Struthio camelus: one gene and its partners. The protein of the gene in region 4 interacts with the protein of the main gene of each other region in a pairwise test. Links are inferred from orthologs where the notes say so. Each region holds a gene or a part of one and is shown on either strand. Other genes may lie near its edges.

The links.
Region 1: the proteins of RALGDS (region 4) and RRAS2 interact in a two-hybrid assay, tested with the Homo sapiens proteins (2 studies listed by BioGRID and IntAct). The link is inferred for Struthio camelus from reciprocal best matches to the Homo sapiens genes RALGDS and RRAS2.
Region 2: the proteins of RALGDS (region 4) and RAP1A interact in a two-hybrid assay, tested with the Homo sapiens proteins (3 studies listed by BioGRID and IntAct). The link is inferred for Struthio camelus from reciprocal best matches to the Homo sapiens genes RALGDS and RAP1A.
Region 3: the proteins of RALGDS (region 4) and KRAS interact in a two-hybrid assay, tested with the Homo sapiens proteins (3 studies listed by BioGRID and IntAct). The link is inferred for Struthio camelus from reciprocal best matches to the Homo sapiens genes RALGDS and KRAS.

The regions. Positions count from the first base shown.
Region 1 is NC_090946.1:22,248,132-22,255,438, forward strand, and holds the start of RRAS2 (ras-related protein R-Ras2), read left to right. Parts: upstream 1-4,297; 5' UTR 4,298-4,350; coding exon 4,351-4,455; intron 4,456-4,809; exon of another isoform or gene 4,810-5,059; coding exon of another isoform or gene 5,060-5,071; intron 5,072-7,307. UniProt on the Homo sapiens protein: GTP-binding protein with GTPase activity, involved in the regulation of MAPK signaling pathway and thereby controlling multiple cellular processes. Regulates craniofacial development.
Region 2 is NC_090965.1:8,960,512-8,968,513, forward strand, and holds the start of RAP1A (ras-related protein Rap-1A), read left to right. Parts: upstream 1-4,987; 5' UTR 4,988-5,122; intron 5,123-5,216; 5' UTR 5,217-5,425; intron 5,426-5,834; exon of another isoform or gene 5,835-5,967; intron 5,968-6,102; exon of another isoform or gene 6,103-6,386; intron 6,387-6,860; exon of another isoform or gene 6,861-7,078; intron 7,079-7,139; exon of another isoform or gene 7,140-7,222; intron 7,223-8,002. UniProt on the Homo sapiens protein: Counteracts the mitogenic function of Ras, at least partly because it can interact with Ras GAPs and RAF in a competitive manner. Together with ITGB1BP1, regulates KRIT1 localization to microtubules and membranes.
Region 3 is NC_090942.1:76,287,847-76,295,760, reverse strand, and holds the start of KRAS (GTPase KRas), read left to right. Parts: upstream 1-4,903; 5' UTR 4,904-5,083; intron 5,084-6,330; 5' UTR 6,331-6,342; coding exon 6,343-6,453; intron 6,454-7,914. UniProt on the Homo sapiens protein: Ras proteins bind GDP/GTP and possess intrinsic GTPase activity. Plays an important role in the regulation of cell proliferation.
Region 4 is NC_090961.1:5,247,778-5,254,998, forward strand, and holds the start of RALGDS (ral guanine nucleotide dissociation stimulator), read left to right. Parts: upstream 1-4,207; 5' UTR 4,208-4,299; coding exon 4,300-4,482; intron 4,483-7,221. UniProt on the Homo sapiens protein: Functions as a guanine nucleotide exchange factor (GEF) activating either RalA or RalB GTPases and plays an important role in intracellular transport. Interacts and acts as an effector molecule for R-Ras, H-Ras, K-Ras, and Rap.

The DNA of each region.
Region 1 (7,307 bases), on a different chromosome or scaffold from region 4:
TCAGTCACAAGTTTCTTCTCTTTACCTCTAAGCCCCTGACTAATCAGCCTTTCTTAGGTTAGCTGATGTCCAAATCAGCTGCTGCTTCCTCTTCTCATACTTCAGTCATGTACTTCACAGACCTGTCTATATTGCCTAGTAGAGGAGAGAATCTCTGTATAAAGATCTGGGCAACTGCTAACTTGCTCATTCTCCCCTTCTTTCAGCTCTGTTTTGCCTCAGAATTGCACCTGGACCCTAGCATGTGTGCCTAGTCCCTTCCCGTGCTCATGGACCTGCTTTCACTTAGGAGTATAAAGAAAGGAGGTCATAATAACAGAATTGTGTATGCATCATTATTTGTTTATATATTGTATCCTCATCTTCATTTCTTTATTCATGCTTCTGTAAACTCCTTGTTTCCTGAAACCAGGGCTCAAAGGGTGCTCTTGTGGGGGGAGACAATACTCAGTCTCTCGAGGCTCTAGGTGCAGAAAGTAGAGAGATTAGCACTTGCGGGGACTAGTTCTGCCCCCGCTGCTCTCACGCTCCTCCGGAGGCCTCAGCTTCTCTCCATGTACTGCATAGGGAATGTAAGACAACTGTTTCCGTTATAGAAAATTACTATTACACATAGGTTTTTGAACACCCAAGATTTAGGCTGCAACTTCTCTGTGCTAGGGACTCTCTCTTTACCTATATTTATACAACACCCAACACAAAGACAACACAACTCTTACTGGGATCTTTGGATACAGTTATAAACCACAGTAAAATGCTGCTTAGTTATTGCTGTCCGTGTCTTGCTGTTTTGTGATCGCTGCCTTGTGTTTTGCAAGAATATCACTTTATTTGTGAAACCGGATTTCATTACCAAAACAACAAGTGCAAAGAATTGTAACAGTAATAAGTCTGTTTTAAAGATTTTAAGGTATTCTTGTGGAATTCACAAGGTTGGGTGGCCACATCGGCAAGAATAGCTATTTAAAGGATGTATAATGAAATTGAAACATAAAAAAAGACAAGGGAAAGTATAAATGTTTGTTTTCTATATATCTGTAAACTAAAGAATTCAAATATTCTGTTGCAGTAGTTTTTACAGAGATTAATATGTTATTAGAAATCTAATAGCTATGAATATGCTTTTCAATGAATATGCTTTTCATGTTAGTTCAGTCTCAGTTCCAGAGAGTATAGTTTACTGGTTACAGTACTAATAGCCAATTGTGAAATCTTACCTGTAATTTTTTTTTTTTTAGACCTAATGCTTGATAAACTAGCAGCAACTCGACTTTGTATATCCTTTCTCTTCATAGTAAACTTCATACTTTGGATTTTTGTAAATTAGAGAACATAATTAAGAATGAGAATAACTATTCTTCTGGCTTAATACTTAAACAGGTCTCTGTTCCTGACAGTGGCTACTAACTTAGGGGGAGTACAAGAACTAGGGCATGCAGAAAGTAACTTATTTCTCATAGCAAACCTATCTCCTGACTGTCAGTGTCTTAGAAACTTCCTGAATCAAAACTGTGTCCCTGATCACTTTGTGTAATACCTGCTCCATGACTTGGTCTACTCCTGCTGTCAGCTCAGATACAATTTTGTCTTCCCCAACGCATTGTGGCAGTGAGTTCCACAATTCCATAATTTTTTCCACTGCAGAAAATAATCCTTTTTGTTTATTTAAACTTGTTTCTTCATACTATCTCTGGGTTTCCCTTAATTCTCCTGTTATGAAACTTTATTCAACTTCTCTGTGCTGCTTAGGACTTTGTAGATCTCTATTTTCCTCTCACTTTTCTCCTTTCCAAGCTAGAGAATCCTAGGATATTTAATCTCTCCCTTGGAAGCTGTTCCTTATTTCTGATCAGCCAGGGCAGGGAGGAAAGAGATGTGCAAAAGGGGCTAATAATGACAGGAGTGTACTAAACTCCTGAGGGTCCTGAGTCCTAATATTCCTCTCCCAAAATATAGTTGTGAATCCTGGTGGCAAAGCATCTCTCTCATCTCCCTCTCCTACAGTTACCCCATTGACGCACAAGGTATTGGTTTGTGTCTTCCATGCGTCAAATATTCCTCCGCTCCAGATGCAGAAGGGGTGTTCACAGAGGTTATTCATTATGTCCTTTTTGTTTGTACACTTCCGTTTTTTAAGGAAAGGAATGCAGTGTAAGAGTTACAAAGTTCAGCTTGCCAAATTAGGAAATGATAGAATTAAGATTACTTGTACCTCATTGATTTACCCATTTGTGCAGATGGTATCGTGTTAGCTCTTAATTAGCTCCACAATATATGTTATTTTTCCATGGATTTCTGAGTTACTCACTGCATCAAATGGATAGTGCTGTGGGAACGAACCAGATGCGTAGAGAAGACGACTCCTGCCTATAGGACCCTTGCCTCATCTGTTGCAGAGCTGAAATGCATGTCAATTGCAGAAAGTCAGGTTTTTTGAGGTGAATAAGTTGAATGACACCTGGATTGCTATCCCTGCAAATCACTTTAGCAAAGCTTTTGTACATGGCCACTAATTCTGTTTTCCTTATTTTCTAGGTGAGAGGAGGAGTGTGTCTACACTACAAAATTTTGTTGGCGTGTCTATGCTGTTGAGGAATGTGATCACAACTGATTGTCATTCTGTGCTGACAAGAGGCTGCTCATATATGTAAGCGCTTGATTTTGCTTCTCCCTTTTAAAAGGGAGAAGGGGAAGAAGGAATTTCCTGAAATCAGGTATGCTGCCAAAATTCTGCTTCACTGTTATAAGCAAAGTGTATGCCACCTCTATTCATGGGTGGCTCCAAAACCAGTTGATCCAGCTGTCCCAGGTCAGATATACTGGGGATGCTCAACATAAGCCAGTCTGTGTATAACAGGTCTAATGTGATCTGGAACACTGAACTCATGAAACCTGTATAGAGCAATTTGACACTGCCTGTGCAGTAGCCATCTGCTTAGTGTTTTGGATGTCCAGAAACATGTCAGACAGTAGATTATTACCCAAATCAGTAGGGCAGTAGGTCATCACTGAAAGCAGTAGTTTACTGTAGCAGAGGTAGTAGAGAGACAGAGGACCAAATTTACCACAAAATGTTCTCCGTGTAGATATTGTCTAATATGCCTATTTCATGTCCAAACTGAACACATGGAGATATCTGCGCTAGCTTCTCTGCAGCTACGTTGTGAAGTATAGGCATATCCTTAGAGTCTGCAATAAGGAATGTATATGATGTATGAGGCTGATACTGCGTAAGAGAAAGGATAGCTTGTGCTTAAGCTGGTTGAACATTGCGTGGGGGAACTGGATCCCCTCCCTGCTGCTGCCCCAGAGCTCCTGTGGGATGTTAATGAATTCCCAGAAGCCAGCGTTTTCAGAGGTGATCCATCATTGTGCCTTACCTCGTTTTCTGGATATTTGACTTGCAGCGCTGGTGGCTCACTTGCAAGAGATGAGCGCTCCCGGCAGCAGCTGCACGCAGAGGGCTCCGACCACATGCACATGATGTGTCCTAGGCCGCGACACCCAGAGGTGGGTGATGCGGGGGAAGAATGTAGCCTTCATCTAAATGGTCTAAATGATCAAGAAGCCCGTTCGTGTGCACGGGCACAGGCGTATTCGCCACACAGCAGGGTGAGGCTTTGGCTGGTGGTGGCGGCGGCTACTGAAAAGTGGGGGAGGGCTGAGGTCTCCCTGCACTTACTTTCCCTCGCAGTAGATCCGTGCCTGACACTCATGATGTTTTGGCACTCTGTCTTGGTTCATCATCTCTGCTTTAGGGGTAACAATACCTCTCTCTCACGGGTATTCACGGTAAGTTCATTAACGCTTACGAAGCACTCAGTATCGTAAAGGACAAGTTGCCACAGTGAAGCCCATGAGGAAATGAACCGTTGTCTATTTGTGGGTGGTGGGGAGTAGATAACGCGCTCTGCCGTGCCCGCCGCAGTTAGGAGCGTGAACCCAGCCGCGAACAGCCGGCCGCGCCGGGGCCAGCGTCGGGCCCGGGCGAGCCCGAACCCCCGGCCGCCCCGCGCCGCCGCCGCCGCCGCCGCCGCCTCCTTCCCGGCGGGGCGGGGCCGGGCCGGGCCGGGCCGCTCACTCCCATCCTGAGGAGCGGCCCCGCCCCCGGCGGCCATTAGCGGGCGCCGCCCCCTGCCGCGCCCCGCCTGCGCGCTGCGGCACGGCACGGCACGGCTCGGCTCGGCACGGCTCGGCACGGCACGGCACGGCACGGCGCGGCGGGCGCAGCCGGCGGCTGGGCGCACACACTCCCTCCCGCGGGGCGCGGCGGCGGCAGGGAGGCGGCCAGCCGGCCCCGGCCCCGGCGGCGGCGCTGCCGCGCTCGGCGCGGCCCGGCTCGGCTCCCCCATGGCCGCGGGCTGCAGGGACGGCCCGGGGCAGGAGAAGTACCGGCTGGTGGTGGTGGGCGGCGGCGGCGTGGGCAAGTCGGCGCTCACCATCCAGTTCATACAGGTGAGGGGCCGGCGGGGCGCGGGCCGGCCCTGCCGGCGGCGGCGGCGGCGGCGGCGGCGGGGCCTGGGCGCTGGCGGCGGCTCGAGGCGGGGCGGCGGCGCTGCCCCTCGCTGCGCAGGAGGCCCGGCCCGGCCCCGGGCGGCGGCGGCGGCGACGCCGCGACCTTGAGGGGCCCCGGCGGGGGGCGGGGCCGGCGGCGCCCGGGCCGAGCAGCGCTGCCGGGTGCGGGGCTGCGCCGGGCCCGCCGCCGCCGCCGCCGCCGAAGCCGCCGCCCGCCCTGCCCTGCCCTGCCCGAGCGGCGCCGCTGCTCAGCTGCCCGCCCCGCCCCGGGCCGGGGGCTTCAGTCAGACCCTCGGTGCGGCTTGGTGAGCGGTGTCGGAGGGGAGCGCGCCGGGCCGGTGCCGTCCCGGTCCGTCTCTGTACGGCCTCGCTGAGGAGGCTCTTGCGGGCGTCTTATGGCTGAATAAGAGAAATATCTGCAAACCTGCAGAGCACGCTGTGCCAGCTCTCTGAACGCCTCTGCATCTGAATTATTGTTCTCGATGCGGGCTTAACCTTCTAAATAATTAATTTTTTTTTCTGTTGACTTCCACTATAGGGAAAAATGACAGGAAAGGTGAGGTAAATTGTACATAACAGTCTTATGAGGCAAGGTCCTTTTGCTCTTCTGCTCTCTTAATTCAGCAGCACCCCTGTTACTTACCTTTCCCTTCTGTACTGTCGCTTTTAGCATTGCTGCTGCTGCCGTGGGAGTATTATTAATCTGTCTCTTTGTGGTGGATGGAGGAGACCACTATTTGTGTTCTGTTTGTTGGTATTGTTGATAACAAAGTAACAAATCTGGAGAGAATGACTTTTTTCTGTTTACTTTTTAGTTCCTCTGAGGAGAGATCTTGATACTCAGCCTACCCTTAAGATAGGTTGTCAGACATCAAGACAAATCATTGCCTTTTAGCACTTAGGGCAATGATATTTTCAGGGGACGTTCTGTGAGGGCAGCTGATCTGGTTGAAAATAGACTCACTTTTTTATTTCAGAAGCTCTTTTCTAATCCTTATGTTCATTAGCTGTTATGTTCTGGTGAGAATTTAGGCTCTGCAGCATAGACTAAACAACTGCATGTAAAACTGCTTTCAAAATGTGGGTATTAGATAACTGAATGCTTAGAAAATGCAGTATATCCTGTAGGACGTTCCAATAACTGACACTTTAAGAGAGTCAGTTCTTGAAAAATTATTTAGAGGTGTTTGTTTGAGATGGAATGGAAGTATTTGTTACACTTGGGGCGTGTAGATAGCTAGCTGATCAGGTACCCTATTTAAGATATTGAGTCTCTGCAAATCTCAGTCCTGTAAGATATTGACTGGCTGGTCTTTTTGGAGGGATAGGACTAGAATAACTCACAGTTCTCCCGCTGTCTTGATTGAGTTCTTCCTTGCTTGTACAGGCGGATAATTAATTTCAGTGGTTGATTGAAGCTGAGGTTTAGAGTGCCTTTCATACTTAAATACATTATTATTGCTTTAGATGGTATTGCCTGCGTGTTCTTGTGGGCATCTAACTAATTCTGACAATAATATGTGCAGCTGAACATGACCTAACTTCACTTTTGAAGTGGTGCTGTCTTGGAAAACATTGCTGAGTGGATTTGTGAATAGTCCTTGGCTATGTTAAAAGCTTTTGAACAACTTTAACTTGACAGCTGGCTATCAAGCTATTGATATGGGCTATCAGCTACAGTGAACTTCCATAGGAGGAGTGATGCTTTCAGTACTCTCAGCTTTACAAGGTGGAATATTAGACTACTGGCTGTTTGGAAAAGACAATATTTTAAAATATTGACTGTTACAATGTCTGATGGAAGGTACTTATATTTGGATAGGTCTTGAAATCAATGAACTGTTTCATTACTGATTTTTGAAGGTAGAAAAATAAAGATGCTGTCATTTCTATTAAAGACATGAGAAAAAAAAAGTGAAGTCCGCATACTGCCTTGGTGCTTTCATTTACTTTAACAGCAGTAAGATTCTGCAGTATATTGGATCATTTTAGTGTTTCAGCACCTGTAGAAATTTGTTCTTTAAATAACCAATAGCTTGGGCTACATCCCTATAGAAATAAAAGTTTTGGTTCAAGTGCTGCAACTGATGCTTGTCTTTCGGACAAGATCTGCAAGCAAGGAACTTCCGTCTGTTTTGTCACCTGTAAGGATCTCTTCAATTTAATAGCAGAAAAAAAAATAGTTTAGTTTTAAAGAATAATCAGCAAACAACGCTGTAGCATTCAGCTGAGGTGTTGAGGATGAATTATTCAAAATAACTTATTGTCAGTTTGTATTAAATCATCTACATCTTTTTGCCCTTTGCTCCTTAATGTTGAGATAAAATCTTGCTACCACAAAGTGATCTTCAGCAGACAACTCAACCTTCTAAACAGGGAGGGAGGAAAAAAAAAAATCTGGGAATTAAATGCCTTTTGAGCACAGCCTCAGATGCTGTAGAGGAAAGTTTTGTCTCATTTCAATACTTGCTATGTAGTTATGGATAACAAGAGATGAGGCTTGGTGGAAATTCATATACCACCGTATCTTCCTGAGCTCTTAATGTTTATGATGTTATCAAGTGTGTGTGCTGTGCAAGTTCTGCCACGCAATCACCTCTGTAGCTTCTGTGCAGCAAGCATATGGCTGAGTATGTTTGTCTTTTAAAACTGCATAGGAACTGCTGCAGATTGTTTTAAAATTGATTACAAGCAAGCCACGTGCTTCATTTTTGAGATTTCTTTGGCTTAAGTAACAAACTCGGAGAGCTGCCTTCCTTAAAACATGGATCAGTACTAGATTTGGCCACGTG
Region 2 (8,002 bases), on a different chromosome or scaffold from region 4:
TGTTGTTTTCTATTTTTACCTGGCCAGCACAAGAAGAGGCAAACTTGCTTTCTGCTTAGGCCGTTAGATTTTCACGGCAGCTTGGCAAGACTGCTCAGGTAGTTCTCCGTTTTGCAAATTTCTGCATTTACAAGTGGGCTGGGGGGAGGAATGAAAGATTAGTAGCTGAAGAAGAGTCCCGTGATACGGGAATTGCAGGTAATGCATCCTCCAATTTTCCTTACCAGAAAAGAATGGAGTTCCCAACTGAAAGCAAAATGACTGTAGAGCTATTGGGGGATTATTATTGTCTTTTGAGTCTCCAGGTTGCTGCCATGTAAATTATACAGGCCTTCCCATCTGACATTCATTGGAGTTTACATTTTGGCATCCTGCTTTACCAGACTCGAGATGCATAGAGAATTGCAGGTATGTTTTAATTCAACTCCATACCCTCCCAACGAGGGAGACTAATATTTCCATCCCTATGCTATAGGGAAAGGTGGCAGTAACATGCCATGTTAGTGGCCCAGCCAAGAAAGGGAGCCAAGCTGCCACAGTCCAGTCCCTGGCTGCCCTCTATTAGACTTCATTGCCTTCTAGAATTAGGAATAAAACACAGGAGGCCCAATTCAGTACTGTCTTTCTGCATAGTTGGACACCTCCAACACCATTTACTGCTGGTTAGATCCTCCCAGAACAGGTAACATCTCCCGTATGTTTCACAAACGGTTCCTGGCGCAAGGGAAGCAAGTTCACTGAGTCTTCTATTTTGTGATCCCAGTTTCTGAAAAAAATTCTCTCTCCCACCAAAAAATAAATATAGCACACTGCTTGGAAGAAAATCTCTGCCATGAATAGACTGGCTGTGCAGTGGGGAGATGCATGGATAACATTGCTTGAAAGACTCTCAAATATAGCTCTGCAACCAATACCTGTGATTAAAAAGTGAGAGAGAGGTACACAAGTTAACTTCTCGGCTCATTTTAACTCACTTGGGGACAATTCCTTGCCAGCTGCCTGATCTCATAGCAAATGCCAGGCTGTTACACTTTTGCACAAGTAAATTCTTGAATTGCCTGTAGAAAAATCAGCCTGCTATGTTGCCATTAGCCTAAAGAATGGGAACTCCTATGTATGATAATAAGCAGTTGCCTGACATACCTGAGAAGCAGGAATTGTGTGTGTGTGGTTTTTTTTTTTTAAATGCTTCCTTCCCCAGCAAGGTTCAGGCTTTTATGATATTTATAAAAACCACTGAAACAGAAACAAGTATCAGTCTCTACCTTTCTCCCTACTCTGTGCTATCACAAACACCAGACAGACACCAGACACTTCTGGTGTGCTTTCAATTTAGGACAGCATTCAGGAAGCTGCCTAAGAAGTCTCTATCTCCCTTTCAGAGAGATCAGTAAAAGTCACAGAGGAAGAAGGCCCAGGATCTTTTGTACTTCTGATAAAGGGAATCCCATTCCTGCCTCCTCATCTGTTCTGTAATCTCTGTGCTCATAGGTGAAGACAGTCTTTGTTGAGGCTGAAACCTGGAAGTACTTCAGCATCTGCAGCAACCACTTGGGATTTAGCCTTTCCTGTGTTTTCAGGAAACTTCAATGATATCAGCTGAGTCAGGAGAAGACAGTGGCAGAGAGAAGTGCTTGCTCTTCTGGGCTCTAACTCTGACCTCCAGAGCTAGCCCAGGTCTTACCTTAGGAAGCCAGTTAGACCTTAAACAGAGCATTGCCTTGGGTCCAGCCTTCCCTCCCCAATTTCCACACCTTCCAGCGTATCTGGATAATTATCCAGTAGCTTCACCCAGCCTGACAGCAGGCACAGAAAAAATGGGTTTGCGGCAACCTGAGGATGAATGATTTTTTTTCAGCAGAGGAGCCTGTTTGGTCCTGCCTATCTGCTCTGATAATAGGCTCACAGCTTTGGAGCTCACCTGCCTCCACAGAATTTGTCGAACGCTGGTATGTTTTAAGCTGTCCTTCGTGGTCTGAACCCTGGCAGGGACGCTGCATCCTCTAGAGCATTGCATCATGATGTTGCACGGCCTGGTGACGTGAGACAAAGCGCATGCTCAGTGACCCCTGTATCCACGTTATCAGTGAAAGAAATTACTGTCGTTACAGTGCCAGTAGTTGTTGGCATGCACTGTTAATATTACAATTGTCATTATTCCTGATGATACATTGTAATCTAAACTGTAAAGAAAATATTATGTTTCCACTTCAAAAGCTCATGTTGAGCTTTTGTAATGAATATTTTTCTGATTCTTTCATGACTATCCTTTCTTCATTATCACACAGTGTTTGGAAAGGACAAATTCCTGTTTTGTGCGGTTTACAAAGTTCAGTCAATCAGAACATGATCCTTATGAAGTCAGCACCTTTGCATTTAATAACAGCAATGTATTATGAGTCTGCACAGTGTCAAATACACTTGCATTTAAACGTACTGTTGATGTGTTTTACTGAGCTGACTTCTGTTCTCTAGTCTTGTGATTCTATCAGCTAGGAATCCAGGCTCATTATGAGATTGCACATTGTTTCTGGATTTCATTAAATGAGCAAATGGGTATTAGCTAGCTATTTGCATCAGCTGAACTTGTGATAATTTATCCAATTGGGCAATTGTTATTTTGGAAAAAAGTGTCCTGAGGGATTATGACTCATTTTCATCTGTCTATATGAACCTCGGTATAACCCCTAGAACTCAGCAGCACATCCAGGCAAAGAATGTCAATCCTATTGCAGTTGCTGGGAATAACCATGTTTTCTACCCAGTCTTTCACTGCGGCCACATAACACAAAAAGTGAAGCACTGGTATAATTTAATGATATCAATGGATTTAGAGCAGGGACTTCAGAAAAGATATGTTATGCATCAACATTTTTTTTAAAAGAGTAGAAAGGTCAAGATAATTTGCAATTTTTTTATAAAACTGCAATGTTAAGGATCTTTTTGTGCTCAATATATAAAGAGTTGTACCCTGTAGATGACAGGATATAGAGGGCTTAATTCTTTGCTTTTTTTCCTTGTGGTGTTGCTGAGGCTGTGTGGAGTAGAAATCCACTGTTTTGGGATGTTAGCACTTCTTACCCACTTTAAGCAGACGTAAGCGATGACATCAGTAGTAATGTAGAAACATACAGATCCTGGAGAATCTCCTTTCTGTTTCACTAGTTCAAGTCTAGTTTAAGCTATTCCTGACACTTGGCAAGAGGTGGCCAGTTACCAGACCTGGTGGTCAGTGATATCTCCTGAAATGATAGTATTTTTTCTTGTTTAGAAAACACACTGAAGGAGAGGCAAGGTGTGGAAAGTGTAGATGCAAGACTTAATAACACTGAGTTGACAGTTTCAATTTCTTTGCTAAAGAGCAAGCACCATTACACAGGAGAAGTGCAGTAACATAGCACTGTGAATCAGGCACATTCATAGCACTAACTATACATGAATTCATAGCATATAGAATTAGGCCCCGTCTATATAAGTCTGTCTATGGGAGCCGTATCTGTTCTGTTAATGGAAAAAGGTGGCATGCAGGGCTATAAGAAATGAAGATCCAGATCTATTCCCTGCAGAAACTGGTAGGAAAATTCCCACTGACTGCAGTTGAACTTGGATCTTTCTTCATCCTTTGCCTTCCTTTTTAATGCATTACTTCATAGCCAAGGTTCACATTCATCCAGATCTAATTTCATGTACGTGCAAAGTCTGATTAAGTGATAAATGTTTTCAGCTTGCATCTAAATCTGTAGAAAACTGGAGGAGGGGCGGGGGGAATCAACTGTCCTAGAACAGGCATTAAGTAGGTCCTTTATTTTGCTGAATCAGGCGCTGAGTGTGTCTGGATGCTGTAGATGCATTGATATTTGAGACAAAGTTTTATTAAACCTTTAGTTTTAAAGGAAACCTGCAAGCAAAATGTACTCTTCTGATAAAGCCTGGCAGAATGCTTATATACCTTCAAGTATATTAAGCCCCTTAAGGATGTAAGCAGGATCTTCTCATGCAACTCCTATCCACAGGAGTGAATTTTTATTGACTTGCAGCTTTCACAACTATTGACTTACAGTTTCAAAACTGATTTTTTTTTGAATCAGTTACTACTGATTTTTTTTGTCTTTGCATGTTTTCTGGATACAGCCTCTTAATTTTAACAATATACAGCCAGTCATTTGCTGCCTAAGTTTAGAGTCAACAATAAAACTGCAATTCTGAAGCAACCAAAGATGTTCAGCAATCAGCTTTAGGTATCCTTAAAGGCATGTGATCCATCCACATAAAATGCCTCCCTGCAAAAGGAGGGATTTTGAACAATGCTACTGAGGTTGACAAGTCTGAGTTCTGCCAAACCTAATGGAGAAAGCAAATGTGGAAATCCCTCCACTGAGACTAACCTGCCTCCAGCTATACAAATTAAGAAATAGTGATTTACTTGCTTTCTTCCAGCATGGTGGTCCCCAGGGAAAGAAATACCCTGCTAGGACCTGAGCCATAAAGAACTGGGATTTACAGATCAATATCAGCATCCATGATTTATACCTGGAAGCAAAATTCTTCTGCACTGTAGATCTCTCCTGCACTCACAAGCACAGCGGGAGTGCTATTTTCTCTGATTAGAGTAGAGGATGAGAGCTGGGATTCTTAGTTGTACTCATCTCTTGGCCACTGACTTGCTAGGCGTTTTGGATAAGTCATTTAATCTGTCTCTGTTTCCCCATCTGTGAAGGAAATAATATTTCTTATTAATACAAATAATACTTAGCTTTTTCCCCTTTGGATGAAAGGCAATGTGAATGCAAAAAATGTTTTATACTCAAGCTGCCAGCAAGTCTGAACAAGAGCAACGTAATGAAGAGAGTCTTTGGGAAGGAGCACAGCAAATTCTCCTGTTTTAGCCTCTTGCAGCTGCTGCAGGAGCTTTGCCGTTACCTCTCGCAACAGCTCGGAGTCCTTTGTCCCCCGCCTAACCTTGAGCTCGTCCGGAGGCGGTGGCTGCAGCCCTCGTTGTGTCCCCGGGTTACGCAGTGGGCAGACGCCGTGCTTGCGGACGGATGGAGTATCCCTCTGCGTTTTAAGCCATACTCACCGAGCACCATGCGTTCAAATCACGGAAACGACCGCAGCTCTTATGGCGCGTTTACATGATTTTTTTTTCTTTTTTTTTAATTAGCACAAACTTCTGTTTTGTAGAAATTTAAGTGCTGATGTTGGCTTTTCTTGACTAGGTGGTTGACAGCCGGGTTGTTCACGCTAGAGCCAGGGCAGGAGTCCCCCCGATCGCAGGCGAGGAGACGCCGCTCGGTCGGCCCCGACGCTGCACCAACGGCTGCCGTCGCCCCCAAACGCGGAGTGACACAAGGACAACGCGGAGACGCGCGGTTTCCTCTTTCCTCCCTTCGTCTTCGGTTCTCCTCGGCTGCAGGTCTCCTGTTAGGTATATTTTTACTTTGATCCTATGGGGTTGTTAAGGCTTTATTTATCAGTTTGTTTTTTAAAAATAAGTACGTAGCTAATAAATGCCGCGTCTCAAGGTGCGTTTTGGCGACTGAAAACACGACGAAAAGGGGGGAAGCTCCGTCCCGGGGGGGGGGGGGGGTCTCCCGCCAGGCACCAGCGGCCCGGCTCCCTCCCCGTGCGGACGGGACGCGCCGCTGTGCCCCGATGAAGGGCAAGAAACGCTCCCGGCCGCGTTACCGGCCTCGGCCGCCTACCGGGAGCGCCGCCAGCCCGCCGAGCCGCGCGGCAGCTCCGGCCGCCGCCGCCGCGTTACCTCAGCGCGGCTCCGGCCGCCGCTGCTGCGGGGGGGGGGGGGGGGGGCGGGGGGCGGTGTCATGGCGGCGCCCCGTCACGGGCGGCCCCGCCCCGCCCGGGCCCCGCCGGCTCCTCGCTAGGCCGCTGCCGCTGAGGGCGGAGCGGGCGCGCTGCCCCCGCCGCGCGCAGCAGCCCCGAGCGCCGAGGCGGAGCGGAGCGGCCCGGGTGAGCGGGGCGGCAGCGGGGGCTGCGGCTGGCGGCAGGGCCGGCGCCGGGCTGTCACGGCGGGCCGGGCCGGGCTGACATCCATCTTGTGGCGGGGCGGCGGCGGCGGGGGGGGGGGGGCGCGGGGCGGCGGGCGTCGCCGCGGGGGCAGTGAGAGGCGGCCTGGCCGGGGAGTCGCCCCGGCGGCCGCTCCGCTCGGGAAGCAGCCCAAACCGCGGTGTTTTGCGCCCAGTCCGCTGTGCCCCCCCCCCCCCCCCCCCCGGGGAGCCGAGGGGACGCCGAGGGCGGCGTGAGGGAAGCCCGAGAGCGGCGCTCGGGGCGAGGCCGCCGCGGCCGGGCTCCGCGCTGCGTTTCGGGAGCCTTCTCGCTGCTCGGCCCTCGCCGTCCCCACGCGTGAGGCAAAGCCGGGGCGGAGGCAGGTCCGGAAGGGCCCGTTTTGGGGGGGGGGCACCGCGGTTTAAGTTTTGGCAAGGGGCTTTTGGGACACGGGCCGCCGGCAGCGGCGAGGAGCAGGTCGTCGCGGCCTCCCAGACCGCTTCCAGCTCGGAAACGGCTTCTTGTTTCTGTTTTTCTGTCCAGGGGATGTTTTTCTGTGTAGACACCGTCTTTGCTGGCGTTATTTTAACTGCCGGAGCGGTGTTTTGGGTTGGAAGGCTGCTCTGCCGCCTTGTCAGCCGGCGGGTTGGGATTTTGGAGGCGGCCAGAAGTTGGTGCTGGCTGACAGAGCTGAGGAAGGGACTTTGGGGGGGGGGGTTTGCTTTGGTCACAACTTGGAAAGAGCTGCCCACAAAAAGGACAAATCATGAAAACTCTGTGTCCCCCCCCCCCCCCCAATAACTCGCTAAGGGAGACGATATTTCCTGGAATAGTTGCTTTTTCCATTTGCAGAGGCCCGTCGCCTGCGGAGGGTTATGATACCCCGACGCCTTTTCTGTTGCGGTTGCTTTTTTTTGGTTTGGCGTGCGTAGCAGTAGCATGCAAAGCGAAAAGGGGCACCGCATCCTTTGAACGGTTAAACCGAGGAAACACGCTGTTAACTGAGAGTCGCAGTCCTTACTGCGAAGCTCTTCACGGTTTTGATGAGGAGTTGTTGTTCTTTCTTAATGAAACGGTATGTCGTTAATTCTCACCGAAAGCTATTTAATGTGGAATTCCTGAAACCTCTAGGCAGTAATGAGTCGAGCCCTCGTGAAGTTGAAAATGCCGCATTGCTACTCAAGGTCTGAACCTTTCGTAAGAAGCTAGCAGAAGTGAGGTAATTTAGAGGGAAGTTTGGCGTGGAGCACCCTTGCCTTTGTGATATCTGCAACGTTTTTAATTTTGAGAAGTAGTGTAGTTCACCATGGCTGAAGTAGGAAAAACTTTCTGATTATTCTGACATCATTATCGTGTTGCTATAGTGACTTCATTACGCTGGGAATGCCGTGTTCATATCCTGTTGCTATGGAAAAGATCAGTGTTATAAATAAAAATAGTTAAGGTTCTCCTACCACAGTTGTGGTAGGAGAAAATGCCATCAATTTATTGACGCGATTGCCTGAAGACTGACAACATATCTCAACAAAAATTTTCAGTGCTAAATTATAAGCTAGGGAGTTACCGTTTCTGATTCTCAGCAGCTTGTCACTTCATTCTCTCTGTTGCATTGGATAGCAGAAGTCGTGAAATCCTAGCTTTAGAAGTCAAAATGAGAACATGTATGTAGTTCTTTAAGGTGGAGGTGACCGGAAGTGAATTACAGTGCTCCCATATTCTGATTCTAAAAATAATCTATTTTCATGCGTAGTATTTTCTACTGATCATGCACCAGGACAAGAGGAATATTTGTGTTCAGTTAAACTAAGATCATCCACAGAAAAGTGAGTTACACATCTTAAAAGCAGGTATTTCCTATGTCCGTTACAAAGTTAGTAACTATGTACAGTGCAAAAAAGAAAAAAAAACTTTGATGGCATTTAGTAGGCCCAAATGGTATTAGGAGACCAAGAGTTATAATTCTGAAGTTTCAAATGAAATAAAAGCAGTATATTTAATC
Region 3 (7,914 bases), on a different chromosome or scaffold from region 4:
TTTGGTACCCTAAAGGCATAGGTGCAATGGGATGGTGAACCTCCAGTGCATCTGAAGCTCTCCTTTTCTCCCTGAAAGACATTCTTCAGTCCCTTGAGAAAATCTGCAGTGTTGAATAACAGAATGTAAGTACCTAATTGCTTGATTTAGAGAGGCAAGTTGGACACCCCACTGATTTTCCAAACATTTCTGGGCTTAATCTGAACGAATCCCATTAACTTCAGTGGGCTTTGGCTGATTTCCTATATACACAAAACTTGAAAAATTATGCTTTAAAAGAAATACCAGAGTTAAACTGGGAACTCTTAACAATTCTTTTTGTATTTTAATTTAGTGGTTGTATGCTGACAATATAATTAGGGAGATGCTATGTTAATTAATGCCAGATGACATTGGTGGGATGGCAAAAGCATCCAGCTTTCTAAAGAATACTTCAGAGCTGAACCGTTCCTCCACCCCATTTTTAGCAGAGAAACATATTCAAAATAAAAAGTCAGAGACAGCTGAATTAAACCAAAAGTCAAACCATTTATGAATACCGGTAACATGCTGTATCTTAACGCATTACTTTCAAGCCAAATCTACTGTTATTGAAGAAAAATATATTAAGCCTGGTTCCTTGGAGTCTACATGGAAAAAAAAAAAAAAGATTTGAATGGCCTTGCACTAGTCTCCTGTTTAAGCTGTGTAGAGGGCAGCTTAGCTGCCATTCAAGCTAAAGGAGTAGAACCTTGTTTTGTACTTTATATGGCTAAGCATTTGAAAGTAATTTTCAGTTTAAGGCCTGTGGATTTCTTGGGGTCCATTACCTAATTTTAAAAGGAATTGCAGACAGCAACAAGGAAAAAAATGTTCACATAAGGTGTGCGTCTATGTATGCTATGTTCATATGCCATGTGAGTCCGTATATGCTAGACTTCAATCTGTAAATGTAAAATTACTAAAGAGAGCCATACCACCAAAGGAAATTTGATGGAAGACCAAAATTAAACACACATGAAAAGTATTGCTTTGATTTTAACATAAAATAACATTTAAAATTACATTTATCAATCTATCTATCAATGGATACAAATGTTCCTGTATTTAAGTTCATTGTATTCTTCCCAACATGGAGTTCATTACCATCTCTCTCTTCTAGACCCTGCCTTGACTAGAGTTAGTGAATTAAAAGTCTGGGGAATAAGGCTGTGTTCTGCTGTGTCAATAGACACAAATTGGTAAGGGCATTTACACTGCTCTAGGTAAGACTTTAAAAAAAAAAAAAAAAATTCTTCTGTAGGTTGCCTTATCAAGGATAGGGCAGCATAGCTAAGTCTGTAGGACTTCCTTAAAAGTCTAAAAATTGTCTTGGGAGGAGATAAGGAAAAGGTAGTGACTGAAGGCTAATATATTCCAAATGCCATGGATCCCATGCTGTTCATGGGTGACATATGGGACCTTGTACTAGAGCAAAATATAAACTCACACAGTTGGGTCAAAGGTGTTCAAAAAACGTCATGTAAACACTTTGTATTTGCAGGCTTTATGCTGAATCTGGCATAAAATGTTGTATTGCTAGCCTAAAAGCATGAAACCACCCTTAGCCCCAGTATTGTGGTTTCTGGCTAAATGAACTGAAATATAATCACGTGCTTGTGCTGACCGGGACCAAATGTATAAACGGTGGTTATTCGACAAAGCATACCTGACAACAGGTAGCAATGGCTGCAGACCCTTGGCCTCTCTGTGTGTGACAGAAAAATTCTCTTATGCTAATATTTTAAATTAATGGCATGCAATCTTTAAACTGTACAAACCCACTTCTCCCCCTGTAGTGATTCTCCATTGCCTTTGCATCTGCTTTGCATGTAGTTAAATGCCAGCAAAAGCACCAGGAAAATTAACTTCTGTCTCAGCTTGTTAACAGAGATAGTCAGACAGGGAAATCTTATTGTTTATCTTGAGGCTGGAGCTGTGTATCACTTTTCCACCACCACCCCGGATTCCTGGCAGTCAGGTGGTAAATGCTCATATATTCTGAAATTTAAAATGTCTTTGACTTTATTGTATAAAGTATAGGACTAGATAAGTCTGAGTAGGGTGAATATGTGGCTGATGGGATTATACCTGCATTTGGGTCTAGTGCTTGATATCATAAGGGAAGCATCTTGTCAGAATAAGGAGCTCTGACCAGCGATTTGTCCTGAGAGCCTTCGAAGATCAGTATCCATGAAGGACCAGATAATCCAGACGGGAATATTTTAATGCAAATGTGAAGAGGCCTTTGAATTTATGAATATGCTTTAACTTAATAAAAGTATTTAGCTCTAGTACCCTGAAGTGTTTTGGGATTTGAGTAAGTGTGTCTGTTTTGCTTATGTTCTGCATTCTCTGTGCAAATTGCCCTGTAGAAACAATCACTAAAATGAAGTGGGTAACACATAGGAGACACTAGCAAAATCTAGGAGGTTTTGCATCACTTGCGCTGACTTTTCAAGGGCTTTCATATCAATGCAGTGTATAGGTTGGTACTTTATATATTTCAATCAGCTCTTTTATTTCTGCTTCTTTTCAAACCACTTTACCCAGCAGGTATCTCTTCTAAGAGAAATTTAGTTAAGACAAACAGCAAGTTCATAATAACAGACATTTAGAAACAAATCTGCATTCAACAAAAAAACAAGCTTTGCATTCAACTTTTTCCAGCTTCCCAACAATTCATTTCCCCCTCAAACTCTTTGCAGAATGATAGTTTTTGTATTTCACTGAGATAGTACAAAACATGGAAATTCAAGCTGTAATCAAGACCTGAAGTTTTCACAGAGAAGGATCCACCCAAGTCTCTCTGGATACTTTTCTGATTCCAACTGTGACTGTGTGGGTTTAAGGATGAACAGCTTCTACCCATACAAAGCTCTGTAGATCAGAGCAAACCATTGAAGTTGTTTGTGCAACACCAGTACTAAGTGCAGAACTGGGCAAGCTTTCCTGTTACACAGGCATTTTCCCATTGCCTTATGATGAACCACAACACTTCAAGTAGTTTTCCTAAGGGGGTATAACACAAAAGTGAGATCCTGCTATCCTAAAACAGCTGATCAAGGCATTTACCTCGGTTGCTGAACATCCGCATTCAAATCCTTTCTTTGCCTGTTTCACACCACAGATTGGAATGTGGGTTTCCCACATCCCAAGCTTGTGGTTTTACCACCCGGCTACTCGTTCTTTGAAAGTGGGGCTTTCTTCTGGTTTTGGCAACTGCTCATGTGAGATTGCTTATGAAGTGAGCTATCTGTATCATTCAGCTTTAATTCTGATTTGTGAGATGATTTTGCATGCTACACTTATGTGCCTTTTTGTGACTTTGTTTCTCATCAGCCTTAATAAAAAAATCTAGTAAGAGCATTTAACACAAAAAGGACCAGGTCACTAACACTCAAATCACTGGGAGAGGATAAAAGCTTTCCAAATTCTTTTTTTTTTTTTTTTTTGCATTTCATGACAATATATAGCCTCCTGTTGCATATAAGAATCCTTACACAAGCTCCAAGCTCCCATAGCAGTCCGTAGGACTTGTGTCACTGATTTCAGTGACAGAAAAGACTGGCTTCAAGAATACAAGGAAAAGAGCTCCTCTGATCTTTCCTAGGCTCTGTTTGAAGAGATATTTTCACACAGCTGCTCAAAAACATGTTTGTTTTCCACCCGGGTCTTCATACCTGAGCATCAGGGAGTAGCATTGAACAGCAACACAGGGTCTTTGGCTTATTTGCATGAATTAATCACAGGAACACAGCTTTTAAATTAGATGGCATTGTCCCAAAGGGTTAATGCCTTACATGCTCAGATGGATGCTGCCCAAAAGCGCAGTGCCTTGGATGCACACTGAGAATGAAAGAAGCTGCAAGTTCTGTCACACACAATTATGGAGAACAAAGCTCCAGCCTTTGAAATTAAAACTCTTGAACACCAGATGTGTAGACACAATATATTTATTTTTGACTTTCCAATTTAAGAGGGAAAACAGAACTGGCCAAACTAATCCCTGGTGTAATCCAGTCGACATCACTGGAGTTACCCTAGGAATAAGCTTGGATTCTTAGACCTGATGACATAAATATTTCAAAAAATTTCATAGCACTTATGACCATATAACACAAGCTTAGAAATGACCTATGCAGTATACCCAATTAGAGGGAACTGAGTTTTTGGCCTTTTAATGAGAAAGTAGGCTTTGCGGTACAATTGTTACCTTGCCTCTAATAGTACGCTGATTAACTGTTGTGCAGAGCACCCAGGCAATTAATAAAAGCCTTTTGTTTAATTGTGAAAATTATTAACCTTAATACCGAAATTATTAAAACTGCAATGGGCATTTAAGTTTTACGGTAATTCTGCATTTCTGCTTTTGTGACCTTTTCTTGACCCGTAAGGATAAACCCTATTCTTCTTGTTTACACAGGGAGCCTCTCACGCTCCACCTTGCCAAACAGCCAGCGCAGCCTCCTGACTAGGAACCGGTATAAAGCCTTACGGGGGCACTAAAGCCCCTCTTCCTACGCCCCGAGCGATGCGGCAGCGGGTGCCTTTGGGCTGAGGGCAGGGCCGCGGCCGTTGGGACGGCTGGGGAGGCGGCCCGGGCCGCCGCTGCCTGCCCGGCAGGCTGACGGTCCGCGTGCCCCCGCCGCGAGGAAGCAGCAAACACTGAAATTACGCTTATTTCCCTCCCCTACGCGGCGCCTCCCCCCTCCTCCGTCGCCGCCGCCGCGCGAGTGACCGTTGCCACCCGCGCGAGTGACCGTTGCCGCACCCCTCCCTCCCTGCCTCCCCGCCCCGCCTGAGTCAGTGGGCGGGGAGCTCCCCTTCCCCTTCTCCTCCCTCGGCTGCCGCAGGGGCGGGGGAGCGCCGAGCGCGTCGATCGCATCCATCCACCCACTCGGCGCTCGGCTCCCTCGGCAGCTCCCAGCCCCAGCCCTCCCCGTCCCCCGCCATTTCAGACCGGGACGGAGAGGGACGCGGAGCGGTCCGCCGCGGCGGGGCGGGCAGGGGCACGGGCACGGGCACACCGGCGTGCTCCCGCGGCCCGCACAGCGCCAGGCAGGTACCGCCTATCCCCCTCCTTTCACCGCCTTAGCCGCCCCGCTCGCTGCTTCCTCCCCCTCCCCCCCCCGCTTTCCCCCAAGGTGGGGCAGGGGGAAGTCGGCGGCGGTTTACCGGAGCCGGGCACCCCCTCCCCCGCCCCCCACGGCCGGAGATGCTCGCCCCGGCGCGACCCCCTCCCCCAGCGCCGCCCACCTCTGCGAGGGCAGAGCCGGGCGGGGGCCGCCGCGCCGCCTCCCCGCGCGTGTCCCGCCGCCGCCGCCGCGGGGGCTGCGCCCTGCGCCGCTTCCTTCCCCCGCCGGCATCGCCGCCGCCCCGCGTCCCCCCCCCCCCCACCTCCGGCAGCCCGCGCCTCCCCCGCGCCGCTTCCCTTCCCCGCGGTGCGGGAGGAGGGGGCGGCGGGACAGGTGGCCAACGCCCTCCGGGAGCCCCGGCACCGGCTGCCTCTGCTCAGTCAACCGCCGCCCGCGAAACCCCTCCCTCTTTCCTACTCGTTTCCTTCCCCCCACTCAAAATCCTGAAAATCCCGTGCGCCGGCGGCGCGGAAAGTTTTGGCCGCCTCGGCCGCGTCGCCTCGCTCCGAGAGGGGAACCGTGGTGGGGCGGCCCCCAGGCGGGCAGGAGGGCGGCGGGCGGCCCCTGCTGGCCCGGCCCGGCCCGACCCGGCCCCGGTGGGGGGACGCGTCCGCGGAGGGCAGCTCGTCAGGTGAGCCCGCCCGGCCCGGCCTTTAAAGTACTCGTGTTCCCGTCTTTGGGGTGGCCGCGGGGACAGATCGGCAGGGGTGCTCAGTGCTGGTCGGTTCCGATTTAAAAAAAATTTAAAAAAAAAAAAAATCAGGGAAGTCTGCCAGAATTCGTGGAACTTCAGAAGGGAAACCGAGCAGAAAATGAAGCCTTTATTCTACAGAAAATACTCTTTAACCACTTTTCAGAAATTAATGTAACTTTATAGGTTTTTTTTTTTTTAGGCAGCTTTTTGTAATCGCTGCCTTTCAGCTTCATGTATGCGCCACAGTTATTAAGAATTTTTTTTTTTTTTGAAAAGTAGCATCCCCTCTTAGCCTTTGAGTGTGTGTGTGCACATGTGGCTTTTTGTTTGTTTTTCTGATTTTTTTTTTTTTTTGGAAGAGGGAGAATTTGCTTCCCTGCAATAGTAAAGGAATACGATAGTGAATGAAAATGCAGTAACAGCATTCTCTTTTGTTGGAGCTTGACCCTTTCTGCTTAATGTTGGTTTCTTTGTCATCAGGTCTGCTAAAAAATGACAGAATATAAGCTTGTTGTCGTTGGAGCTGGTGGTGTAGGCAAGAGCGCCTTGACGATACAGCTAATTCAAAATCACTTTGTGGATGAATATGACCCTACAATAGAGGTAAACAGCTCCATCCTACACTCTTTATGATGAGAAATTATCAGTAAATAATGGTGATTGACGACCTTTAGACAATTACCCCAAAAACATCATAGGAAAAAGCTTTATATGGAAAAAGTCTCAGACATAAAGTCTGAGACATTAGAGAGCAAACTAGAGTACAGAGCTAATATTAGAGAGCAAATCAGAGTACTTTTGGATCTGGCAGTGGAACAAAAGCTGCAGTAAATACTTAACAATATTGATCAGTTAAAATGTGGTGTTAGTTGCCATATCTTATTGGGCAGTTTGAATACATGTTTTTATGATTTTAGTAACAATGTTATTCGTCAAACTTGCTTAAAAATGCCTGTCAAAACTGATTTTGCATGCAACCTACAAATGTCTTAAATGTGACTCTCCTTTTTGATCTCAAGTAGGAGAAGCTGTAGTCCTGAAATGTACCTGTCAAGCTTTCTCAGCTCTTATCATTAGGATCTGTTTCACAGGGTGAGAAATGTGTTCTGGAATGCTATGGTGAATGAGACAAAATCTGGAGCCTGGCTTTTTTTTTTTTTTTTTATTTTAACATGCCAGTAGGTGTTGCTGTATATCTAGAAAAATGTTATAAGGTAGCTGCTGTAGTGGATTCTTTGAAATACATGATGCAGTTCTTCAAAACTTGAAACTATATTTAAGCTTCAAAAGTTATGCTGTTTAAAAGCTTTTTTTATGAGCAGGCAAGCTTTGCCTTCTAAATACAAGAAAAATACTAGTGTTGTCCGAAGTCTCCTGTGGATCATTGGATTTAATAACCTCAGACTCTGTATAAAAGGAGAAATGACACTATAATTTACCCAAGATTTTTATGTTCCCAGTACTGAAGCTCTGTAGCTTATGACTTCATTTATATGTTTATACAATGAGGTGCTTCCAAGCTCACTTGAAGGAATCACAGAGGTTTAAATCTAGGCTTAAATGGTGACTCAGGGAATGGCTATGCAGCCTTTTTCAGGTAGACATAAGTGAAAGGAGTCTATGCTCTGAAATGGTAGGAAGCTGTGTTATTTCAGTGAAGTAAAGACCTGAGTTAACATGCCCCTGTGAGAGCTACCTTTGCTTGAGTTTGGGATTACCTTCATGGGGCTGTGTCTTCTTGTCTGCTTGCTGAATGGCCAGATAATATCATGTATGCTGGTAGAAGACTCTGTGAACAGAGCCTTAGAGAGAGGGGGAGTGTTTAACTTGTACTAGAAGAGCAGCTCTTTTGTTAATTAAGATATGTGAGATTTTAAAAACAACAATCCAGAACACACTTAAATCACGTTCTGTCTTTCCCTCTCAGTGAGTTTTCCTCACTCTTGTAAAAGGAGCTTTGGGGGATGCTGGCTTTTGTAATATCTATTCTTAATCATCTGGGCAGGTTTCGGTTAGATGAGAGGTGTATTTACACTTTACAATAAGTACTATGGATATTCTATG
Region 4 (7,221 bases):
GAGGCTCGTGGCGTAACGGCATCGCCGCGGCCGAGCCTCGGGAGCCCGCCGTCTCGGCGGGAGCTGCTGTAGCCCAGCTGTGCGCGGGGGCTACAGGAAATGAAACGCAGAGTAGCCGCGTAGTGGGGTTGAGATCCTACTTGCCCGGGGATTTGCTTCGTTAGGCGCTGGCAGTAATTAGGGGCTCGCCCGCCTGCGCCAGGAGGTTGGCGTGCCTCGGAGAGGCCGGAGCACAGCGGCGTTCCCGAATTAACGCAGCGCTTAATCCGGAGCTGCCGGCGGGGGGCTGCGCGGAGGAGAGCGGTGTTGCAGCTGGGGAGCGGGTGCGCCTCGGCGGAAAGGGCACCAAGTGCGAGAGGGTCTGAGCCAGGCTGACCGTCAGCACAAAGAGTTCATAGTGCTCCCCGCGGCCGGACAAACGGCCCTGAGAAACACCCAAAACCTGGAGGCAGAGCTGGACGATGCGACTGCCCTGGATCTGCAAAACCAGGCTAAGAGTTTCCGCAAATCCAGCTTGCGGTAAGCCACAGCGAGTGGCCTCTGGCTGGCCCCTAAAATCTTGTTAAACGGTGACACTGATTGTGCTCTCAGGTGAGGATCGGGTCTGCGAGAGACTCTCAGGGCTGGCACTGATTGCTGGTCCCCAAATTTTGGCAGCAACTGCTCTCATCTAATGTCTATATACAGATTGTGCTAACCAGAGCAGGGACATCGCTTTCCCTTTGTAGACGAGCTCCGAGTTTTTTCCCTGGTCCTGAAATAGAAGAGGTAGTGCTGGTTGCTGAGCCTGGGCCTTGGAAAGACAGGGGCAGAGGAAATGGAAGTCCTTCACATCAAAGGCTGAACATCCAAAAAAGTTTCGATTTAGGACTCAATGCAAGCAGCAATGAGCAGCCTGGCCAGCAGTCAGTAGTTCTTTTCGCTCAGTAGCGCTTCTCCTCCAAAGAGCCTTACAAACAGCAGCGAAAAGGGCTTCCTCGGCCCCCTGCAATGCAAAGAAGCATCATCACCTCCACCTTAAAACGAGCGGCCTGACACCGAGCGCTGCGGTGATTTCCTCAGCCTGCCTCGTGCCTTGGTGCCAGAGCTGGAGCAGAGGCCCGATAAGGTTGTGACTCCTGCTTAAAACACACCAGTTTCCATTGGAGACCAGTGATTCAGGTCCCGCTTTGCTTGTCAACCCCGGGAGCTGGTAGTACTGGAGCAAGGCTCGGCCACGGGAGCAGGGGCGTCTCTTGCCTCCTGCCTATAGGGCTGATTTCAGGCCTCCTCAATCCTCTGCTCTGGCGTCTCTCCTGCTCTTGGTTCACTTAAGACTCAAAACAGGGGTTTTATGACGTGGTGCCGGTGCGTGACCTCAAGGCAGTCGCAGGAAAACTCGTGGTATTTGTACGGCGCCGTGGGCCCATGCCGCCGGAGGTAGCAATCTCTGGGAAAACGTTTCTGAGCCGTTCTTGGCTGGGGTGGGCAGCCTCGCTCACGAAGCCGATGTCCCCGTGGAAAACAAAGCATGAGCATGAGCAATGGGAAGTGGGTCACCGCAAGGTTTGTCCTATAGGAAACACACTGGAAAGCCCTTCTCAGAAGTAGAGCGCTGAGATGAACGCAAAGGAGGACAGTCGCTGCGAGGCCGGGAGAGCATCCCTGATGGGAGGCCGTTCAAAGGCTGCGTGCATGAGACTCTTCGTGCCAGGGAGATGACGGGGGACTGCGCCAAAGACCTGCTAGCACAGAAGTTACGGCCTGAACGCCTTGGTGCTGGTCCAAAAGGACTGAGCTAAATCAGGGAACTGGTTCAGAGTTTGCAAAAGCCGCTCTTTGTTGGCCCTTCTGCCTTATTTACCAGGCGGCCAAGCCTGTGGCCAGGAGCCTACGGCAGAGGTGTGCGGATCTGTGATTTCGAGGTGCTCTTGGTGTTGGCTGTGTGGGTTTGTGTTTATTCAGCCCAGCGCTGATTGCAAAGTGATGGAAAGAAACAATGTAAGGGATTTCCCGCAGCACTCAGTTCCTGCGCTGGGCTTTATTTCTGCGCCCGGTAAAGTCAATGGGACGTTTGCAGCTGACGTCAATGCAAAATGCTCAGTGTGTTGTGAAAAGTTTCTTCTGAGTTGCCAAGTCAAAAATGATACTTTATTTTAATAAGTCCTACAGTCGTTAATGGTTTTCATAAAGCTCCTGCTCCTGGAGTCGTGTGCATATAAAGTAATTGCATTTTTCAGATATTTTCTAGACCTTTCTCGTTGTAGAGGAAAACGTGATCTGAGCGTTCCCTTTCAGCCCTAGGCTTTGAGGTAAATAAGCCCTCAAGAGTTATTTGTTTTGAATCTCATGATTTTCAAGAGGCCCATGATTGTTGAGTGTTTGGGGTTAGCTACGCTGAGCAAACATCCTGAACGTGGGCTCCTGACCCCGCTTTGAGTGTTTTGCTTTTCGGACCCAGAAGGTTCCCAGGAGAGGAGAAAGGAAACTGGCTGGCTATTTTTAAACCCTTGCAGTTGGCTTCCTGCTTTATATTATTTATTATCCATTATCAGAAGTGTTTCTGCCCTGAAACAGTCTTTAGTGGTCAACCAAGGGACCAGTGAAAATTACCCATCAAATAGAGCTGCCTCTTTCAGGAGAGAGGTCAAACAAAACTAGAGGGGTTTTTTAGGGTTTTGCCAACTGAAAGCAATTAGTGCTTTTCTATATTATGCGGGCTGTGGTCGTGCCAAGCAATTCCAGTTGTGGGCCATAATTTCATTGCCCGGGGTGCTAAACACAGACGAAAAGCAGCCCCTGTCCCAAAGACCTCGCAGTCCGGAGAGGCAATGCCGATTTCCTCTAGAAATCAGGCGGCGGCTCTGATTTCTGCATTACTGGATTACATGAGGCACGCGGCCGGACTCGTTTTAAAGCGCGTCTTGCACTATTACGTGGTTTCCACAGAAGGAGTAAATGAGCCTAAGGGCGCCTCGGTGCGGAGTGTCGTCATCTCCGTCCGGCAGCTGTCAGCGCGGCAGGCTCGAGCGCTTTGAGCAGCGCTGCGTGGTGAGCTGGGGCCAGCATCACCTCCAAGAGATTATCCCTTGGGATGTTCTGGAGGGAATATCCCTGGTCCCCACGGGAGCTGCCTGGGGCAGCGCAAGGCCCTGGGTGCAGGCTGGGTCGGTGGAAGTCCCCGTGTCCCTTTGCTGCCCAGACAAGTGGGGACAACAGCCCACAATGTCCTCGTTCATCCTCCTGGCCTGGTAGATGGTCAAGTTTAGACTGTTGCATTCGTCACGGCTTTGTTAATCCTTTCCTGCCCGGGCGGGAGCTGCAGGCGCCGTGCCCTGCCGGAGCTGGACGGGCGTAGCAGCCCGGCGCCGCGCTCTCGTAGCGAGCAGAGCTGCGGGGCTGGAGGGCCCCGGCAGCGTGCTGTTATTTCAGCTGGGGGGAGAGCTGCGGCGTAAAAGCCTGGTTTCTGGTGGTGTCGGCAGCGACTGCCTGGCCCCTGTGCGACGGTTTGTCGGGGCGTGCGAGGAGGGAGGGAAGGCGAAAAGCTGGGGAGGGCGAGAGCGTGCTGCGCTCGGCCTGGAGGAGCGATGAACGACCACCAGTTTTGCCTGTTTCTCTTTGCCTCAAAGTTACGCTACGTGGTTTCGGCATCTGCTTGGAGGCTCAGAGCCTCTTTAAATTAGGATCCGCCACCCCGCTGTCGCCCTGGCCGCGTCTCTTCTCCGGCGTGCCCGCTGCGCCGTTCGCAGGTGCTCCGAGACCTCGCCTCCCCGCTGCTGCGGCCCGTCGGGGAAGGGGTCAGAGCCTGCTGCCGGCGCTGGCGCTGCCTCAGCCCGGCGCGTCCCCTCCTCTCCGCCCCGGGGGCCGCAGCTGTGGCCGGCCGGGGGCTGTGCGGGGCCGTGAACCCGCCCGGCACCGCTGGGGGCTCAGCTCGGGTGACTCGGTGGAAGCTGTCTGTCCAGCCTTGCACATGTGCTGTTAATATTCATACACTTGCATTTAATACTTTTTTTTTTTTTGGGGGGGGGGGGGGAGCCTCGGTGAGCGGCCGGGCGAGGCGCTGTGCAAGTCCCAAGCTCGCGTAGAGCTCGTCTTCCAGGAGCGTTTGGCAGCTCGTGCTGTCGCCGGGGCAGCTGCCCTCGGTGCGGCCGCGGGGGGGCCCCCGACGGCAGCGCCGCGGCCGAGGGGGCCGGGCCGGGCGGGGGCGGGGGCGGAGGGCGGCGATCCGCTGCCGGGTTTTGCAGCCCTCGGCGGCTCCGTGGCGGCCCCGCGGGGACATCAGGGCTGCTGGGCGGCGGCGGGGATGCGGCGGCGCTGCCCATGGTGAGCCGCCGCCGGGCCGCGCCGCACCATGCCGCGGCGCCCGCCCCCGAGAAGATGTTCGAGGGCTGCCGGCGGGCGCGGAGCCTCTGGGGCGGCGTGAGGCTGGAGGTGGCCGGCGAGCGCAGCCCCGTGGTGCTGCACAGCTTCACGCAGCTGGACCCCGACCTGCCCCCGCTGGAGGTGAGCGCGATGGGGGCTCACTGCTGCGATGAGTTCGGGGAGGGGGGGGGCTCAGCCCGCTGGAGGGTGGGTGCCCGGAGCGGCCGCCGGCACGCGTCCCCGTCTAGTTTGGGGGCTCTGCCTCGCTGGCAGCTTGGCCAAAACCAGCCCGGAGTTAGGGAAGGGGGTGGCTGTGGTAGCCTGGTACACGTGTTGTTGTTTTGTTTTATTTGCTGAATAAATACGTGCCCCTGCTGGGTCTTTTTGCTGCGTGTGGCTGTGCCATTAACTGGCAGGCAGGCTGCCGAACTGGGCGCTCTCCCTGGAGATGAACAGGGGGAGAGGGGCAGGTTGCTAAAATCAAGGTCTTTTATTTTAATATTTTATTTTATTTTTTAATTAAAGCTTAAGCTTTTAATATTTTTATGGCTTGCTGCTCGAGGTGGGAGTCAGCTCAGATCCCGGTTGCTTGTAAAGGCAAAAGGCTTGTCCAAAGAAGCCACATAATCGTCCTCTAGGAAGGTTGTGGGCACCAGTAGGACTCTGCTGGAGGATGCAAAATGTCTGTGCTCCTCTGGATTCGACCCTGGGTGGGTCAGTGCCGGACTGGCCTCTTGGGGGTCTCAAACAGAGCAGTTGGTTGTTGGCAATTACGAGCGGAGAAGGGGACACGGGCACCAGAATACTCTGAGTCAGAGCTGTGGGTTTTTTTCCTAGCAATAGATGATCATCCTCGGCCTGCCAAGAATGTCATCAATTCTGAGCAAACAGCACGTTAGGAGACGCTCAGCTGGAGGAAGGTTTTGGCATTCGGAGGTGGTGCCTTTCAGGGCAACACTGGAGCCCTGCGAGCTTCGCTGCACAGCCGGGCAGCGTCGCAGGGGTTAACAGCAGCACGGGGCAGCGAGCCTGGTTTTGTTGGGATTTAGAGCCAGCTGCAGATGTGCTTCTCCACTCTGGATACTTCTTGCTGGAGGGAGGGGGGGGAGTCACCACTAAAACCTTTTGAGTTACTGCACAGATATCCGGGGAGGGAAGCCAGCATTTACATGGGTGATGGCTCTTTCTCCTGGTGCTAAATGATCTACCCTGTTACCTATGGTGGAAAGTCTTGGTCAGCCATGGACAGGAAGGAATTATCTCAGGCTGCGGCAGTACCGGTTCACCTCTGGCTCTGCTGGCTGGTGGTGGCAGGGGCTCATCAGCTCTGCAGAGAGTTCATGAAAGCGCCATCCAGCTTATTTTTCCCCCCTCGTCTCCCCCTGCTTCTCTCTCCTGGGGGTGGGTGTACTGACATTGTTTGGAGTACATCATCTGGTTCTTGTTATGTCTGGCAGGAAGTCCAGCCTCTCCATCCCTCAGCGCTCCGGGAGGCTGCCTGGGCCGCGCTTTTGGCAAGGAGAGCAGGAGAAATGGGGAGGAGAGAGGAAAAGAGGGGGTGATTCAGCTTGCTGCACTCCTCGACCCAGGGAAAAGGGCTGCTGAGCATGCACAAGCCTCTTTGCACCCTGGTCGGAGGAGGCCCTTGAGTTCAGGAGTGGGTTTGGCTGCATCTCGGGAGGTGGGGGGCTGCAAAGGCAAAGTTACAGGCCTCCAGACCAGGGAGAAAGCGGCTTTGCATTCCCCCCAGTTGGCACCAAGCAAGCCCCTGCTTGTCTGAGGACCTGGTGGAGCACGGGGTCTGCCCTGCAGACCTCCTCTGCAGTCCTCCTTGCCCAGATTTCTTCTCTGTGCTGTAGCACCCTGCCTTCCTTTGGTTGCGCGTAGAAGCGTGTTGCTTAATGGTCAGAGCACAGCCCAGGCATCAGATTGCCTGTATTCTCCTCCCTACGCGGAATATCTCTACGTCTGCAGACAGGTTACTCCTTTCTCTGCCATCTGTTCACAAAAGGCACCTCCCAAAGGGGACTGTGGTGACCGACTCACTACCGAACAGCGCTGAGATGCTCCAAAAGCCGCTGACCTCTGGCATGCTCCCATATGAGGACCTCCACGTTGCTCATTAGGCCATGCCGGCGTTCGTTTTGCTCGCTGTCATTACAAAGCGCAACTGGGGAAAGGCCCACTGAAAGGAAAAAATAAGAGGGACCGTGTTGTTGTGACACCTTCCCTGGCACCAGCCTCACGTGGTTGTAATCCCGGGGTAAAGTTACTCTGCAAGATTTACCCTGGGAGAAGAAGGCTGATTATTTGAATAAGAAAACCCCCACAGCCTGTCAGTGTTTTCCTAACCTCCGCTCACAGCCTTGCTCTAAGCACCCCGGAGCGCTAACTCCAGACCTGAGGTGAGAGCCTGGGGGCTGCCGCCTCCTGCCAACGCAGCACAAGGCTGCGGCTGCCTCGTCCTTGCTAGGATTTGGTCGCTAGTGTGTTCACCAACATCTGTTTCCAAAGGGAGGACTGGGCTAAAGGCGGTTGTGCCTCCTGGCTTGAGCTTGTCCTTTGGGACAGAGCTGTTTTTGGTGGACCTGTGCCAACTTATGTGGTTGACAGCCTGGTCCCACAGGGATCGGAGGATCCCTGGAAAGCTGCCCATCGGGTTATGGGGAATACGTAACTCGTTGTCCTCGTCTCCTCAGCTGAACGCCTGCTGGTGTCTGTAGCGCAACCATTGCTATATCCCACAGCAACGTTTCTGATGCCATCTCCAAGGCGTCGGCTCGAGGTGTCTGTTCTAGCTCTCTTACAGCCGCCTGTCGCTAAGCGTTCTTGCACCAAAAGCCCTTTGTAATCGCACGATGATTTTAACTGTGATGAATA